Linked DNA regions of Saccharomyces cerevisiae S288C. Changing the gene in region 3 together with the main gene of any one other region gives a genetic interaction. Each region holds a gene or a part of one and is shown on either strand. Other genes may lie near its edges. The genes, in order: RGD3, YLL032C, RRN5 and HIM1.

What was found.
Region 1: mutations in RRN5 (region 3) and RGD3 together harm fitness more than expected from each alone (negative genetic interaction), as found in Saccharomyces cerevisiae (one large-scale study listed by BioGRID).
Region 2: mutations in RRN5 (region 3) and YLL032C together harm fitness more than expected from each alone (negative genetic interaction), as found in Saccharomyces cerevisiae (one large-scale study listed by BioGRID).
Region 4: mutations in RRN5 (region 3) and HIM1 together harm fitness more than expected from each alone (negative genetic interaction), as found in Saccharomyces cerevisiae (one large-scale study listed by BioGRID).

Annotation. Positions count from the first base shown.
Region 1 is NC_001140.6:466,305-471,091, forward strand, and holds RGD3 (Rgd3p), read left to right. Parts: upstream 1-1,914; coding exon 1,915-4,272; downstream 4,273-4,787. Other genes in the region: SVP26 (Svp26p), read left to right, coding at 924-1,610; phosphogluconate dehydrogenase (decarboxylating) GND1, read left to right, coding at 4,656-4,787. UniProt on the Saccharomyces cerevisiae protein: GTPase activating protein (GAP) for RHO3 and CDC42 that binds membranes through phosphatidylinositol 4,5-bisphosphate. Plays a key role in cell polarity. Modulates the RHO3 distribution at the plasma membrane and its polarity during growth.
Region 2 is NC_001144.5:73,752-78,579, forward strand, and holds YLL032C (uncharacterized protein), read right to left. Parts: upstream 2,997-4,828; coding exon 519-2,996; downstream 1-518. Other genes in the region: IRC19 (Irc19p), read left to right, coding at 1-350; mannose-ethanolamine phosphotransferase GPI13, read right to left, coding at 3,401-4,828.
Region 3 is NC_001144.5:421,891-425,306, reverse strand, and holds RRN5 (Rrn5p), read right to left. Parts: upstream 1,625-3,416; coding exon 533-1,624; downstream 1-532. Other genes in the region: PUT1 (proline dehydrogenase), read right to left, coding at 1-121; SLS1 (Sls1p), read left to right, coding at 1,834-3,416. UniProt on the Saccharomyces cerevisiae protein: Component of the UAF (upstream activation factor) complex which interacts with the upstream element of the RNA polymerase I promoter and forms a stable preinitiation complex.
Region 4 is NC_001136.10:1,100,386-1,103,945, reverse strand, and holds HIM1 (Him1p), read right to left. Parts: upstream 1,763-3,560; coding exon 518-1,762; downstream 1-517. Other genes in the region: MCM21 (Mcm21p), read right to left, coding at 1-53, 137-188. UniProt on the Saccharomyces cerevisiae protein: May participate in the control of processing of mutational intermediates appearing during error-prone bypass of DNA damage.

The DNA.
Region 1 (4,787 bases), on a different chromosome or scaffold from region 3:
AATCTTAAAGCTTGATAGTATTTGTATTGAATTACTACTCACAAACTATTTAAAACATCAAGCCAAATATATGCGGAGCACAGAGAAATATTTGTGAATTATATCTTTTGTTGGAAAGACAAGCAACTATCCTAGCGACATTAGGATTGCCAAGACATCCGGTTTTATTCAGACCCTTACATCAGCAGCAGCACGTTCCATCTTTTCAAACTTCCTGCCAAACATTTATGAAGACATGAAACTCTAAAATGTCATCTATTTATAGTAGTCATATTACTATTATATTATTACATGCGGTGTAAGAAGATGACATAGGATTGGGACACAGTCATCGAACTTAATGGACGCTGAAGTGCAAGGATTGATAATGTAATGGGATAATGAAACATATAAAACGGAATGAGGAATAATCCTAATATTATCATGTAGAAATATCGATTCCATTTTGAGGATTCCTATATCCTCTAGGAGAACTTCTAGCATATTCTATATACCTAATATTATTGTCTTTGTGAACAATGGATTCCCACAAATTATCTCAAAATTCACAAATATCTCATTCTCGCATTCCAACAGTTATGTTACTCATTCTATTCGTTTGTTATGTGTGTTTTATGAACGTTTGGGATGACGTATTGTCATACTGACGTATCTTATTTTGAGATACAACATAGTTGTATTTTTAGCCTCCTTAGCTTAGTGGTAGAGCGTTGCACTTGTAATGCAAAGGTCGCTAGTTCAATTCTGGCAGGTGGCATTATACCGGTATTATTTTTTTTCCCTTTGTTCTTATTTCTCTATCATTTATAACTTTATGATTTTTTAAAGGTTGAATGGTCAATGTGAAAATTAAAACTAAAAACATATAGTTGACAAGTGAGAAAAAGAGCAAAAGGGAGAAAAGAAATTGTTAGAATAAAACCATGCTGTTAGAATTGATTTCTTATGCAGGAACCGTTTCAGGGTTTCTTTTTTTAACACTTTCAATTGCATCGGGTTTATACTACATTAGTGAACTTGTTGAAGAACACACAGAACCCACAAGACGGTTTCTCACAAGGGCTATTTATGGTATAATATTAATATTAATTCTGCTACTGTTACTAGACGGTTTCCCGTTCAAACTTACACTTTTTTCCATTGCATGTTACATAGTATATTACCAAAACTTAAAAAGTTTCCCATTTATTTCGTTAACCAGCCCAACTTTCCTATTAAGCTGCGTATGTGTGGTCTTGAATCACTACTTCTGGTTCAAATATTTTAATGATACGGAAGTTCCCCCACAGTTCAAATTTGATCCAAATTATATACCACGCAGACGTGCTAGTTTCGCTGAAGTAGCCTCATTTTTTGGTATATGCGTTTGGTTCATACCATTTGCCTTATTTGTTTCTCTGTCAGCTGGTGATTATGTGCTACCAACGACTAGTGAGCAACATATGGCTAAGAAAAATGATGACATCACAACGAACAACCAGCCAAAATTTCGTAAAAGGGCTGTTGGGTTAGCTCGTGTAGTCATCAACTCGGTAAGGAAGTACATCTACTCTCTAGCCCGTGTATTCGGTTATGAGATAGAACCTGACTTTGATAGATTGGCTGTTTAGGATTGCCTTTTTTTTTAACATGTAGTTAGTTTTTCTTTATTTGAATATTCTAAATAAGAAATATGTGTAATGCTCTGCCAACTATTTTGCACAGGAAAGAAAAATCACCAATACAATACTACTATATTTTACCCAAGTTAATACGGGAAAGTATATTTTCTTTTCCATATTTTTCTTTTTTATTGACGTTTGCATTTTTTAGAGCAACTAGTAAACAAAAAACCAGTCAGGCCCAGTAGATTAAGTATTGTCATTACATAGACAAAGGCAAGAGAAAGAGAGCATTTTCTTTCGGTCTCTAGTTATGTCTGTTAAAGAGCATAACGAAGAAGATATTATTGGTGATGAATTACAGAATTCGAGGCAACTCTCCATTGATTGCGACTCAGTTAAAATTTCACTAAGGAACACATATTGGACCAAAGACTATACAACAGGTATCAAATTATTCATAAAACATATGAAGAGAGAAAATGATTTGCTGATTAAAGACATCAAATTTTACAATGATTTTGTCAACAAATTTTGGAAACCAACATTGAACAATTTACAAAAAATGGAAGCAACCAATTCAATGAATAGCAGGCTGCTGGAAGTGATGAGCAAACAGTTTAATATAATATCAACAGAGCAAGTTGAAAGAGATTGTAAAATTCCATTGCAAGAACTAAGAGATCTTAATGAGAGCTTCCTTCGTGAGGCAGAAAACGATTTGTCATCTCGTTATTCAGCTTACATTAAGGATTTAGTCGCAGCTAAAGAGGCACTAATTGGATGTGAGAAAAGAGTTCAGTCTATATATAAATTGAAAAAAGCCAATACGCCAGTGGAAAATTCTTCCTCTGTTTTTGATAATGGAAAGGATAGTGCACCGTTAACCAGGTTGAACTTCGTATGCGAGTTTCCTTACACTTTAGACGAGAGGTTAAAATTTGAGGATTGCGACCAATTTATGTCATTTTTGCAAACCTTGAAGGGAAAAGTCATCCTGGAGAAAAGTGTCTTTTCCGTTCCAGGATTGTCAAATCAAAGTTTCCAAGGCAGGTCATTGATCAAAGAATTGAAAAAACTTGAACCCAGACTAAACCTGTCCTTATTTAATATCGATAGGATAGGTAACGAATTCATCCAACTGGGTATAATACAAGAATATTCCCTGAGTTTTTACTCTAGCAAAGTTTCTCAGTTTGACCAGGAAAAATACTATTACTGGAACAGTGAAGTCCTTGCTACGCAAGAGAGTAATGGTAATGCTGGAAACAGAAAAAAAAAATCGTATGGTGAGTTAACACACTCCGACAATGAACACGAAGAAAAGTCCAACGTTTCATCTATCAAAACATCTATATCCGATTGGATCCGCAAAGTTAGTCAACATGATAATGATGATTGCGATGCAGCGGGAAGTACAGATATGAATAAAAATGAGTGGAAGAGTTTAAAACAGCAACTTGAATCATCACAAGATATTTTTTTCTCCAAGTGTTGCCAGTTGGAATATTCTAAAGTGCAGTTGGAAAAAACCATTTATGATTATTGTAAAAATTACTCTAAAATGGAGGACGGAATCAAACGAGCTCTAGAATCATCAAACATGATGTTTCAACAAAAATGTGAAAAATTTACTGACTCACCTGTGTGTTCTCTACAAGAAGCACAACTGCCACAGGAAACTGCCAATGCGGATGTAAGAGGGTTTTTCCTCAGGGATAATGGCATACCCTTTCGCAGGTGGAATATCCTAGAAGCGAGTGATCCAGTCGACGCTTGCAAAGAAATCTCCATAAAAAGCGAAAAGTTTTTCTGTGGTAGTGAAATAAATAATGAACTGGCTGCTCTTGATACGTTAGGGGCAATAAAGATTATACTGCGGCAGATTGAAAAGGAACCAAATGCTAATAAAGTCATACAAAGTTGGCACAGGGATATTGATTTTGTAAGGGTTTCTAATTTGAAAAGAGACTTATTGGGGGAATTCAAAGGATCGAAAACTACCGAAAATACAAACTCTATAATCACTGCTCATTTTTTTGAAAACTCGCACAGCTATGTCACTAATGATCTCGTCGGACTGATAAAATTATGGCTGTTAGAGCTACCCGACAGCCTAATACCTTCAAACCACTACGATGACTTAATTAAGGCCGAAAAATCGCTAACATCCCTATGTGAACAGTTTCCGACGAGCTCCTTAAGGTTTCTACAAGAACTAGCAAACCATTTTCAATTGATCAATAGCAAATACTCACTTCCGCCGCAAACAATACAAGATTTGTTTAGAGACAACAGTGACATAGACATACCATTGGCCCATCACTTCGTAAGAAGAACAGGCTTACAGAACCCTATCGACATCAAAATCTTGTCACCAACATTATCTACATTTTTCATCAACGAAAGAACTGTAGAAACTTTGCAAACGTTGATCGCAAACAGGATCACGACGGCAACTACTGCGACACTCACTGAACCGCCGACGATAATTATAAAGGATACAACGGCACCTATACACTCTACCCCTAAGCCACCGCCAAACGACAAGGATGGCCATTTCATACCTCGGCCATTCAAGACTAGTTCTACTCCGACAACCCCAGAGAGACCTAAACGTAAGAGTGGTTTATTCCTTCCCATCAACGTCAACGATGTCCCTTCTACATAACTCCATGCATGCTACATAGTAACTACGTAAATCACCTGCTACCTCTCTGTTCTTTCGTCCCGCCTCGAGGTTGTGCTGCTTTTGTACCTATTGTGGCTGTCGGTGTTACATTACGGTGCCTCGGTGTTACGCGGTGCTTCGTCCTGGTGGTCCACGCGGCCTTGCGCTTTGGCCTTGGTGGGCTTCGAGGCTGTATTATATAAATGGGCCTGATGTTCGTTAAAAGCTGCAGTATTGTTCCTGAGCTTGTTTCTTTTTCAAAGGTTTCCTTTTTTCTTAGTGGGGTCCTTTCTTACATAATAAAGTAAATAGCCTGATACATATAAACCTGTATTGTTGCCATTACAGAAAAAAGCCACTTTCTATACAAAAACTACAATAAAATGTCTGCTGATTTCGGTTTGATTGGTTTGGCCGTCATGGGTCAAAATTTGATCTTGAACGCTGCTGACCACGGTTTCACTGTTTGTGCTTACAACAGAACTCAATCCAAGGTCGACCATTTCTTGGCCAAT
Region 2 (4,828 bases), 350 kb from region 3:
GGATACTCCCCGTGACTGAGATGCAAAGAACCTTGGAATTTGTTCTGAAGAGCTGTTCATACTTGCCCGAAACAAAAGTTCAAAAGTGGGATATTGCAAGGGACAACACATATTGCAGGCAAATTTTAAAGAACCTTTTAACAATGCAATATGAAAAGTACAGATCGATTTTGCATAGAGGAATAGGCCATGATGAGCTTGACGTCAAATTCTCTCATTTGAAAACTACTTCTAGTCCGCTAACTAAGCTAAATAAAACCGAAAAGAAAAAGATTCCGCTTTTCAAAGTATTTAGTGATTTCGATACAACATTGATATATCTCAATGAGACATTAGGTACAAGGTTATAAAGATCATTATCGTAAAAGAGGAGCGGAGCGGAGCTTTTTAGTATGTATGGTAAAATATCAATCAAATACTGTAATAGATGCGGATATGCGCAATGACATATTTTGTGGTGTGCATATCCATTGAAAAGGTGCGTAGAACGTTACAATACTACTGAACTTTTTTCCTTCTCATTTTCTGCCATTTTGATATTTATGCCTATTATTGGTTTGAGCTTTATTAGAGTTGGCATAATTATAATCGTACTCGTATGTATATCCGTATCCATACCCATATCCGTTGTAATAAGTGTTTGGTATATATCCTTTGATGGCTTGGGCTCCTCCTACCGTCGTTATAACAGGCATTTTGTGGCGTTGTGGTGAGGCTCCTGATTGGCTGGTATTATCGATGGTCGTACGACTTTTGGCATTATTCATTGATCTGAAATTGCCATTGGTATTGCTATTACTGGTGTTACTCTTGCTGGAGGCAGACCCTAGAACAAATTTTTTAATTATTTTTTTAAATATTATTTTCGTCTTTTGTGTTTCCAAATAATTGGATAGTAATTCGATTGCTTTTGTTAGAGTATTCTCATTAGTATCCTTTTCAAAAGTAAAAGTGATAAGGTCCTTCTCAAAAGTTACAATTATGTTCATAATTTGCAAAAATGGAACAACAATTAGGTTATAAAATTCGTATTCTTTATTGGGATCTATCTCTTGATCTATTTTGAACTCGTATTCATAACCAAACGCACTATTAACCAATTCGTTAGCGGCTCTTGATGCATTCTCATCATTTCCTTGTATACTCAATTGAGATGTTCCATCCAAGGGCTCTTTTAACGGTATCATTATGTAAACATTTTCGTTCTTTTCGATTTGTCCTATAATATTCTTTTGGCCGTTAACATGCAAAATATGTCTATATTGCCCACTAGAAAATCTAATGAGCGTCTTCGATTGTAAACTATCATATTCTTGAACAATTTGTTTTAAATCATTCTTGGCTAGGCATATATTAGCTTTGTTTTTCCTGGGGCACCTAATTATCACATTATCATACCTGATCATAGAAATTTTATTTTGTGGAAGATTGAAACTATTGGAAAACTGAATGAAGACGTTATGCTTTCTCATTGTGGCTTGAATTAAGGAACCACCTGTACCTATAATCGGTCTGTGACAAACTTCAGGAATGAAGAAAGATTCTTCGGCAGGAAATTCATTTATAACATTCTTAAATGATTCCTTGAAATCAGGGAAAGAGTCACTAACCAAATTTAAATAAAGGTTATCATCTTCCTCTTCCATTTCCAGTTGAATTAAGCAAGCAGATAGTTCCATTATACGTGTTAATTTACCATTTTTCTTGCCTGATATGAAGTCTTCAAAATCAGGATGTATCTCGAAAATGGCTTTTATCTGTCTTAAGTTTGGATTAATCACTTGATTTGAGCCCATAATAAAATCAGATAAGTAATGCAATATGGAAGTATCGGACGCCTCATCTGTGGAAGATTGGTTACCAACTACTATTAATTGGTTGAAGGAATCCTCTTTGGGAGTTATTACTACAATTTGGTTTCCAGTGTGTCCGAAAAAGCTGTCGATTATTAATTCCGGGGACATTGCGCAGTTTTCATTGAGTGAAATCTGTACTTCTACAATTTCATGTAATACTTGAATAGTGAAGTTCTTAATAACCATTTCTAATAAGTTCGTGGAAATCGATTGAAATTCAATGTATTCGTTAGTAACTCTAATAAGCGATTGGTATTTCAAAATTAACTGGTTTACCTTTTGTTGGTAGTATTTTCGGATAAACAGTAGTTTTCCTGGGGTAATATTAGTCAATCGACGATAAAAAAAACTCTTTGAATTCACGCTTATGGACTCACGTAGAGTTTTCCTAGCCAGTAAACTTAGTGAATGGACAGCGCCTGAGAAGAAGATTTGTGGATTTGCCTTAAGATCCCTAGACAGCGTAATGAGGGAAGGTGCGTAAATGCTGGTTTTAAAAGCTCTGGATATATGTTTGAAGTTTTCCATATCTACACCCATATATAAGGGAAGCACAGAGTATGAGTTCAGTTCCATAGGTTCGATAATGTAGTGTTGTGGAGGCAAAGTCATACCATTCTTCTTTATTAAATCGACAAATGCCAATAACTGGGGTTCGCATTCCATTAAATTAGATCGGAATCCTAATGCATGCACGTAAATACATAATTCCTTGCTCTCGCCTGTCTGTTCTGGTGTGAAGTAAGCTGGTTCTTTGGTGATGATTAGTTCTAAATTGAATTTTTCACTCAAGTCCAATAGTATACGTTTCATTTTTTCCAATTCTGCTGTTAGATCATTTGTGTTCATAGGTAAGGGCAAAGAAATCCTGCAAATAGCATCGAGGTCCATATCATCTGTGGTAGCTTTTATTGAGATCATGTCATCTCTAATGAAAGAAGCATTTAGATTGACCCATGAGGGATCTATATGACAGATTGCTTTTGTGTTTTTAAGTTCTTTGGAGCTTATTCTTTTTTGAAGAAATTCAACTAAAAAAGGTGCTTCTATGGGCTTCCATAATCTATTTGTCGTGTATAAGTGTGGAACTTGTAAAAAAGCAGTTGTGATAACTGTACTGTAAATTTTGAAGTTATCCATGCCTCAACCGTGTGTTTACTGCTGTTTTTCTTTTTAAACAATTGTGTAGACTTAACCTCTGCGGGCTTGAATAGTGCTTCAAAAGGTTCAGGTAGTCAAGAGGTTAGCTATATAAACAAAGATGACTTTTCATCCTTTATTTCTTTTATTTTGTTTTTGTTTTTTGCCTTTGTGGAAAAAAAACAATCTACAAGCGAAAAGAAAAATTTTGGAGAAAAATATAATTTAGGATTACAAGAAAGTGATAGAAAAATGTACAATCTTAAAAGAATAAAGCTGCAGAAAAGAGATGCTTTTGCTTTCAAATTTTTGCAATATCAAGAGATATGATTTACTTGTATCTAAATTACATGTAGATATATATATATAGTATATTTGTAAGTAAAGAGTGGAAATGAAGTTCGTCATTTCCAAAAAATGTCATTTATGTGCTTAATCAATCTCCCACTAGCAAATGCAATTGTACCAAAAGTAACGACCAGTTGAGTGACTATTAAACTTAAAGAAGCAAAGATAAACCTTGGGCAGAAGATTTTCCAAACCATCAAGTGTCTACGGAAGTGAGTAACCCAAATAAAGGAGCTTAGACATAAAATAGTATTGTAAGTGAGTAATATACCGCAGTTTGACACAATTCTTCCTAAAAGTGTTTGTGGCTTCAACACATCAGGAGGCTGTGACCACAGTGTCAGTAACGCTACAGATAAGGAGACGAGAATATGAGGCCCAAATGTATTTAGGATGATGGCTATCTGAGTGAAGGGGAACGTTACCTTTTCAGACAGCATAAATCCGATATCCCATTGCACTGATGGAATTGTGGCTTGATGACCGGTGGTGAAAAAATGTTGGTAAGATAAGAGTCCCAACGCAATTGGACCAATTATGTTTTCCTTTAATTTTAAAAGATCGATAATTTCTAAAATTGATAGTAGTTGGTTGCACATGAGGAAGTATGACAACTGGGCCAGGGGTTTGTTGAATAGTAGGATACTAATGAGAACGTTTATGACCAAAAGAAAAAACTCTGAGCCGTAAATATTAGTATAACCTAAAATTGTTGCTTCGTGAGACTTAACATCAGTATTATGAATGTTTAATTTAATACAAAGTGGTCCCATTAGCCAGCCGACATTAGAAGCAATCAATGAAAAACCGGCAATAATTCTAGCCAACGTAAATTTAAAAATAGTGACGTCCCGTAAGAACGGTATTGCTATTACCGCACTGTTATTTTCTAATGAAGTCAATGACCAATAAACAAAGTTCAAACCAAGGATACCCTTTAGGAAAACGTTTATCCAAATTGGAGCTGCAGCTTGATAAGACGATGTTAGATTATAATAACCGGTGATGCATGCAGGTAATATGAATATCATTAGGAAACAGAGACCCAAAACCCACCACGAGGAATTGTTTTGATTATTAAATGTTGGAATACAATATTCGCCTTGTTCCTCTCTACAAATGGTAATCATAGAAGCTAACCGGGTAAAAATGATTAAAACTGCAGAATGGTAACCTCCTAGTAATCTTGCAAATCTTGTTAATGGTAAGTAATTTGAATTTGCTGTCGAAGGATTGACCCCTGAAGTGGTTCCTTCCTTTTCACTGATTGTTGCAGTTAATAATGCAGTGGTGGATTGCCTTTTTGGTAAGAAGACAAATTCATACAACGTCAACATGCCGAAAGTAGATAAAAGGAATGCTACAATTCTATCCTCCCAAATAGTAAATGAATTGGAAGTGAAAAGCAAAGCATGAATAATCATAAACATGACAGCAATTCTTGACCAATAATCAGCTAATGTTTCACCCAGTCTCATAGCAAT
Region 3 (3,416 bases):
GATTAGCAGCCGTGTTAGAGTGTGTCGGAGTCTTTGACACATAGGACCTCTTTATCAAAGGAAAGCATAGAGAGGGTATGCGCGATTTAGTAACTAATAAGGAGCTTTTGGAAGCTATCATTTCTAGCGTGCGTTAGTGTTATTACTATGTAGCGATGTTTATGATATATAAAAGACAAAAGAGAAGAGCTGCTACGGACTTGTGGAGTTTGTGTTCGGTTCCCAGCAAGCTTTATATAAGAAGGCAGAAGGGTGAGAAAATGGGCTTAGTTCATGCGATTTCTCCTGATAATAGACGATACTAAGTACAATAATGAGATGATAAGGGAAATAGCGCCACTCATCAATTGTTTATCATTCATTTTTCTTGTGTAGATATGCTTTTCGGGATGCGAAACCCGAGGCGTGGTAACCGGAAAGCCATTGCCGAAAGGAAATTCCAATCAAAAAAGCGGTGGAGCTAACGGAGGGAATAAGCGAAAGAATAATGAAAACAAAAATTATGTCCCTGCGCGATTTTTCGCATTGTGTCTCATTTGGATAACCATTTTAGCAACTGATTTTCATGTAATGCTGATCGGAACAAGTCCGCTTCGTCGATTTCATCCCTTTCTGCCTCGCTTTCACCTTCACTTGCAGTGTTATCTTGTTCTTGATTTTCTTGATTTTCTTGATTTTCTTGATTTTCGTCTTGATGGACTGGGGGCGCATCCCGTCTGGACAACTGGCTTTGTAGAAACAGATGTGCCATCTCCTTGGTGCGGAACAGTTTGCCCTCTCGCGGATAGTCTAGTTCCCATTTGCGCAGTGTCAAAACAATGCGCCTTGGAAGCACGTGTAGGTCACGTGATCGGGCTTCTGTGCATAGTGCACGCTCAACTTGCCGGCGAGTTACCACCGTCGGTAGCGACTTGTGTCCTCGAGATTCGGCCGCCCTGGCGCTGACGCTGCGGGAAGCCATACCCGCAAGGGCCGTGCACCACAGCAATGTACGTGTGTAGCGACTTACGCAGCGCTCCAAAGTCTGCGTCGCGCTGCGCGATAGCGGCAGCGCGTGGCGGGGCAAGGGTCTTATCTCCGCGATACGGCTGTGCGAGTAGATGGCCACCCACCTGCGTTTCCAGCTTTCATAATCGATAAGGCCCTCGCAGTGTCCTTCCTCATCGGCAACCTCGGCTGCGCCTTCCGTGATGGCCATCACTGTCTCGCTCAGTTTTGTCTCCAGGGCAACCCACTCAGCGCTCATTTCGTACGCAATGGGCGCTCCGTCGTCACCCGCCTTACGCGATCTCGCGCTCGCACTCGCTCTCCTTAACAACCTGTAATAACCTAGAATCTCCATGGCGCTCTTCCGAGGCAACAATGAGCGCCACTCGTCTACACGGTGGATACTATAGCGTGAAAGGCACCAGAAAAAGGTATTCTTCTCCTCGCTGTCCCAGTCTACACCAACGCTAGAGATTTCTACACCAGCATTGGCGGTACCCGCCTTTTCATGGATGCTCTTTACATGTACTTTGGAAGGATGGAACTCAGCTGGGCGGCCTGACGCGGCACCATTGTAGAATTCCTCGACCTCCTTATTGTACAATTCGACGTACTTCCGCAATTGTTGGTGCTCCATCCTAGGTGACCGTCGTATGCGCTGTGCTTTCCTAGCTCTTCTTCCACTTCTGTTTCTCTATACTTTTTTTTTTGTTTTTCACCTCGCCCGCCTTTTCTTATTTCAGTGAACTGAAAAAAAAAAAAAAAGTTATGTATCTTTAATGTAATAAAACTAGTACATAATATATACGGAGCTTGAAGGCACTGGAGAAAATATAGAGTAAGCATATGTGGAAATTCAACAAAAAGCTCGCCCGTCTTACTTACCGTCTTTATTCAAGCTCAGGCCCAAGCTCGCCCCTTCATGGGAAGAAGAAACTGCCGCAAAATCTGAAATTCGTCGTCTTGAACCCTACCCAATCTGGGCTAGTGAAAAATGATCAGAAGCAGCCTAGACACAGGCCGTCTAAGAAACGTAGCCATAAGGAAACTGGAGATAACAACCTCGATTTCGGCTCGAAACTCCTTGTCTTCGAAAAGCAGAATTCACTAGATTCCGCATTGAACTCCATCCGATTGAAGAAACCGACAAGCGCCAGTCTGCCCTCCCTGGAATACAATGCCCTTCTCCAATCGCTTACATCAAGCTACAATCGCTACCAACTGCGCGAGTTCATCTCCACACATCAGCCAGACTCCTCTTCACATCTGACGCACTGGAAGAAAAGCAAGCTGTCCCAATATATAATTGAAAAAATCTGGAATTGCCAACCAATTTCAACACCCACCACTCCCACAGGCATCAAGTCCACATCATTGACTTTCCAGTTCGATTCTCCTAGAGAAATTTTCCTTTTACTCATCACTCAAAATGGTAAAATACTCACCAACTTCAATAAGCTCGGGCTGACATTCATCATCTCCATTCAGGATAACGAATTGACCGTCAAGGGTTCGCCTAGCTTGCTCAAATACGCAGAAATATCCTTAAACAAAATATGGTCAAACATCACTCATGAAAATGTGCGTATGTATTCCCTCATGCCATCAAAAGACGTCATCAACCTTATTCAGAAGGAAACTCACACTTTTTTTGAATACCTCCCGGACTTGCAAATGTACAAGATTTCAGCCCTAAGCACCAAGAAAATATCCATGGCCAAAGTCTTTTTATTAAATGCCGTCGCTTCTAATCCTAACACAACTCAACACCACCACACAATAGCCTCACCAGCACTCAAGACAGAACTCTATCCGTTCAACAATACTCTAGAGAACTTGGACTGGCTAAACAAGTCACAAGATTGGGCAAGATTACAGTCAGTTGTCCCTAAAAATTGCACAGATCTGATGACTCCCACTGAAAACGCCACACCAGAATTGACAGATGCGCAGGTCAGCCAATTCGAATCTTCCTTGTCTAAAAATATACCATCTCTCTCCCCTTCCGACTCTATTTCCCAATCTTTATCAATAACGCTAGGTCACTCCTTACAGTCCGCGTCTTTTTCTAGTATTTTCCAACCTCTAATACATAAGAGTTTTATTTCAAAATTACTGAATCTACCAATGTACAAAGAATCATCATCATCAGCCGTACCTGTGCCTGTGCCTCTTGATCAACATCTAATAACAAATGCGCATCAATCCTTCATACAGCTGAACTTCACTCCTGTGCCGCCCACCTCTGGCTCCTCCTCGTCCCCTTTTTTGCAGATTTGGTTCGAGATTGACGAATTCGATAACATTGTTACCACCTCAATGAGGCCTCTTTTGAAATTACAAGAAAATTCTGTTATCTTAAGAACTCCACAATGCCAGACAGACTATAAGATCACGTCAGATTACATTCAAGATCTTTTACCTGATTT
Region 4 (3,560 bases), on a different chromosome or scaffold from region 3:
TTTATCTTTTATCTTCGCTTTGAGCTTCTCACGACTTTCTTCTAATGAATTGACTGTGAAGATTCTACTATGTTAGTGTTCAACTTAATCATTTTTTTAAAAGAAAGAAAATTGTTACAGCCTCAAAATCACATACTTTCACTGAGTAAAGATTCAATGTCCTGCTGTAAATCATCGATTCTACTCATTGCCAGGAGCGTTACTGATAGTTTGAAAGAATTGCTCAAGTAAAGAAATCACATTTTCCCCTCATTATCCATATGGCTTTTGTTTGTTTTTTCTTCAGTTTTGAAATATGCGCGTTTTCTTACCATCATTATAAACTTAGGGAAGATCTATCATAGAATTGGTCGGCCATTACTGGCGATTAGTAAAACAATACATAAAGTTTGCATATTCAATGCGATAAAAATTTAAGACGGCCCAGGTATCGAATCCATGATATAGTGGTTCTTTTATGTATTAGGCTACTATTTATTTAATAACTTCGCATCTATCAAAAGAAAAGACTGACTGTTCACACAATCATATCAATTTGATAACTGCTAATTACTTCCAGCTTAGGTCCCGCCTCTTTACTTTTCCTTTCAATCGCCATCAAAGAGGCAACATAAGAAACCTTTGAAACTGGGACAGCGTATCCTAATAATGCAGATCCTGGCATCCTATATATACTGGAAGCAATTATTTCGCTTAACTTTGTTCTTAAGCCAATCCTTCTGGCCTCACTGATATATTTCTTTTTATAAACTAAAAGATAGTGAGGATAATAAAAAATTTTTTCCAAGAAAGTGGAGTTTTCTTTACCCAATTCAACGTTTATAGGATTTCCGTGCTGTCCACACATCGGACCTGGCCTCAAAATAACTAGCTCCTTTAGCTTATTTGGCAAAGCTTCATCCAAGTCATTTTCTAATTTAGCTTTTATTCTAAAATACTCGAAAGTTTTACTAAGAAAATCATTATTAAAGGCAGTTGTAACCACCAACCTTTTGTTAGTTGTATTCGTGAATTCTTGTGCTAAATTAAAAGGTAAGTAATAGTCAGCAAAGGAACTTGGTACCTGAGTTCTCCGCACTCTAGCTGAGGTGGAGCCCAAAGAGCACACCATAGTGCTAATATCACACAGACTAGGCAAACTTCTACCGGGAACGTAATTTTTGTTGTCAATGTCAAACTTTTCCAGCTTTTGTGTTCCTGAGAATATCCGTGGAAGCAATTTTGGCCAAGTTTCAGATCTGGGGATGATCAATTGCGTTACAGTAAAATTACAAATGATCTCAATACCTTTTTCCTTTCCGCATGCATAATGTAGTGTGTAACTGAACTGTTTCTGATTATAAACAAAAGAATAACCATCTTTTCCCCTCTCTTCAGGCGTATTTTTAATAAATCCTTCTTCAAAATTATCATAACAAAAAGTATTAGGACTAGACGGTACTTTTTCAGTGTCTTTTTCTTTCCTGCTTCTCAAGTAATATCTGCCACCTTGCCAAGTAACTGATCTCATATTTATATAATCAATGGTCTTCATAAATGATTTCTCCTCATTGATGCACCTTCTATTAACACAAAAGACATGTTTATTGAGAACGACATTTCCCTTTATTTCACTTAAGCTATCAAGCTTGCCTTGTAGGTCCGAAACATTTTTAATATATAAATTTATGTCCAACAGGTTCTCTAAAATACCTTTTCCTACTAAACTAGATGATCCAAACAATAAAACGTAATCTGTAAACGTGTTGACACTATAACTCATTTCTGATCAACCTTTCTAGTTTGGAATATTCTTCAAAGGGTCTATATGTATAAAAAGCTGTCATTTATATTAAAAAGAATTTATAGCGTTTACTGCGGATCAAAATTAAATACGTCAATTTTTCTTAAAATTTCTTTTAATCTAAATGACACAAAAAATGTCACCCATCATTATATGTATTGAAAACCAAAAAAAAAAAAGGAAAATTATACTTTCAATGAAAGACACAAAAATGAAGAAGTTCAAGGATATAAAAGTTAGTTTTTACCTGTTGAATTATATGCAGAGTTACTGTTAAATTACAACAACTTATCGTTTCTTGATGAGTATTCAAGGTGACGGAATATTATCATATATGATGTAATAAAATGACATAAATGATAAGAATGCGTTATCAAATTTAAAAGCAACTGAAACGCACGGATTGATGATAAAAAAGGATAACGATTGGTAACATTTAGACTAAAGAATAGATCGTAATATAGGAGATTTGAGAAATATGTGGGTAATTAGATAATTGTTGGGATTCCATTGTTGATAAAGGCTATAATATTAGGTATACAGAATATACTAGAAGTTCTCCTCGAGGATATAGGAATCCTCAAAATGGAATCTATATTTCTACATACTAATATTACGATTATTCCTCATTCCGTTTTATATGTTTATATTCATTGATCCTATTACATTATCAATCCTTGCGTTTCAGCTTCCTCTAACATCGATGACAGCTTCTCATAACTTATGTCATCATCTTAACACCGTATATGATAATATATTGATAATATAACTATTAGTTGATAGACGATAGTGGATTTTTATTCCAACATACCACCCATAATGTAATAGATCTAATGAATCCATTTGTTTGTTAATAGTTTGAATGTTTTTATCGGAAGAGGTTTGGTCATTACGTCTGCAATATTCTTTTTGGTTTCGATATAGCATACGTGCAGATGATTTCCTGATACTTCATCTCTTAGTCTCATTGCTTTAGTACCAAAAAATCTGTTTCTAAATTTCTCTTCATTATTGGATATAATTATACTGATTGTAGATTTACTGTCGGTTAGTAATCCTTTAGTAATTGGTTTCTTGTTAAGTTCTTGCACAAGGTGACTGAGGTTATTTAATAATGGGACAGATTCACTTATCGCGTGTATTTCTGCTTCCGTAGTTGAAGTACATGTTAATGAAGCCTTGGTGGACTTTCCTCCAATTACCTTTCCATTAAGTAAATATATGTTGCCAATTTGTGACTTGTAATATGGTTGGTTACCATATGAAGCATCACTTATTGCGACTAGTTTATTATCTGGCTCGGTAGGTTTGTTTTTGTGCCATATCAGTTGTTTATCTCTAGTGTCCCACATGAATTGTATTAACTCATATGTCATGTCTAAAACTTGCCTAGAGGGGAATAGTATATGTTGAGCAAGTGTGTTGATGTAGTATAGTAAGTCAAATCTAAATTTATATCCAACATATGAAGCTAGACCAATCAACTTTTGCATTTCATGTACCTTCTCTTTGTATTCATCTTCATCTATTTCTAGTTCATCCTGGTCTATATAAAGACCTGGTTGACCTGGAGCGCTAAGTTTTCTTCCTTTTGGATTCAAAGGTACGTTTAATTTGGGTATTTTCTCAGTTAATGAGTTTTCCATACCTAATTTCATGTATTTACCTCTTTGATATTTGATTTCTAAGCCAAGTATGTCGTACTGAATTTCGTTATCACTTTCACCCAGATTTATTATCTTTGTATCGTATTGTTTCTTGAGTGTTGTTATGATTT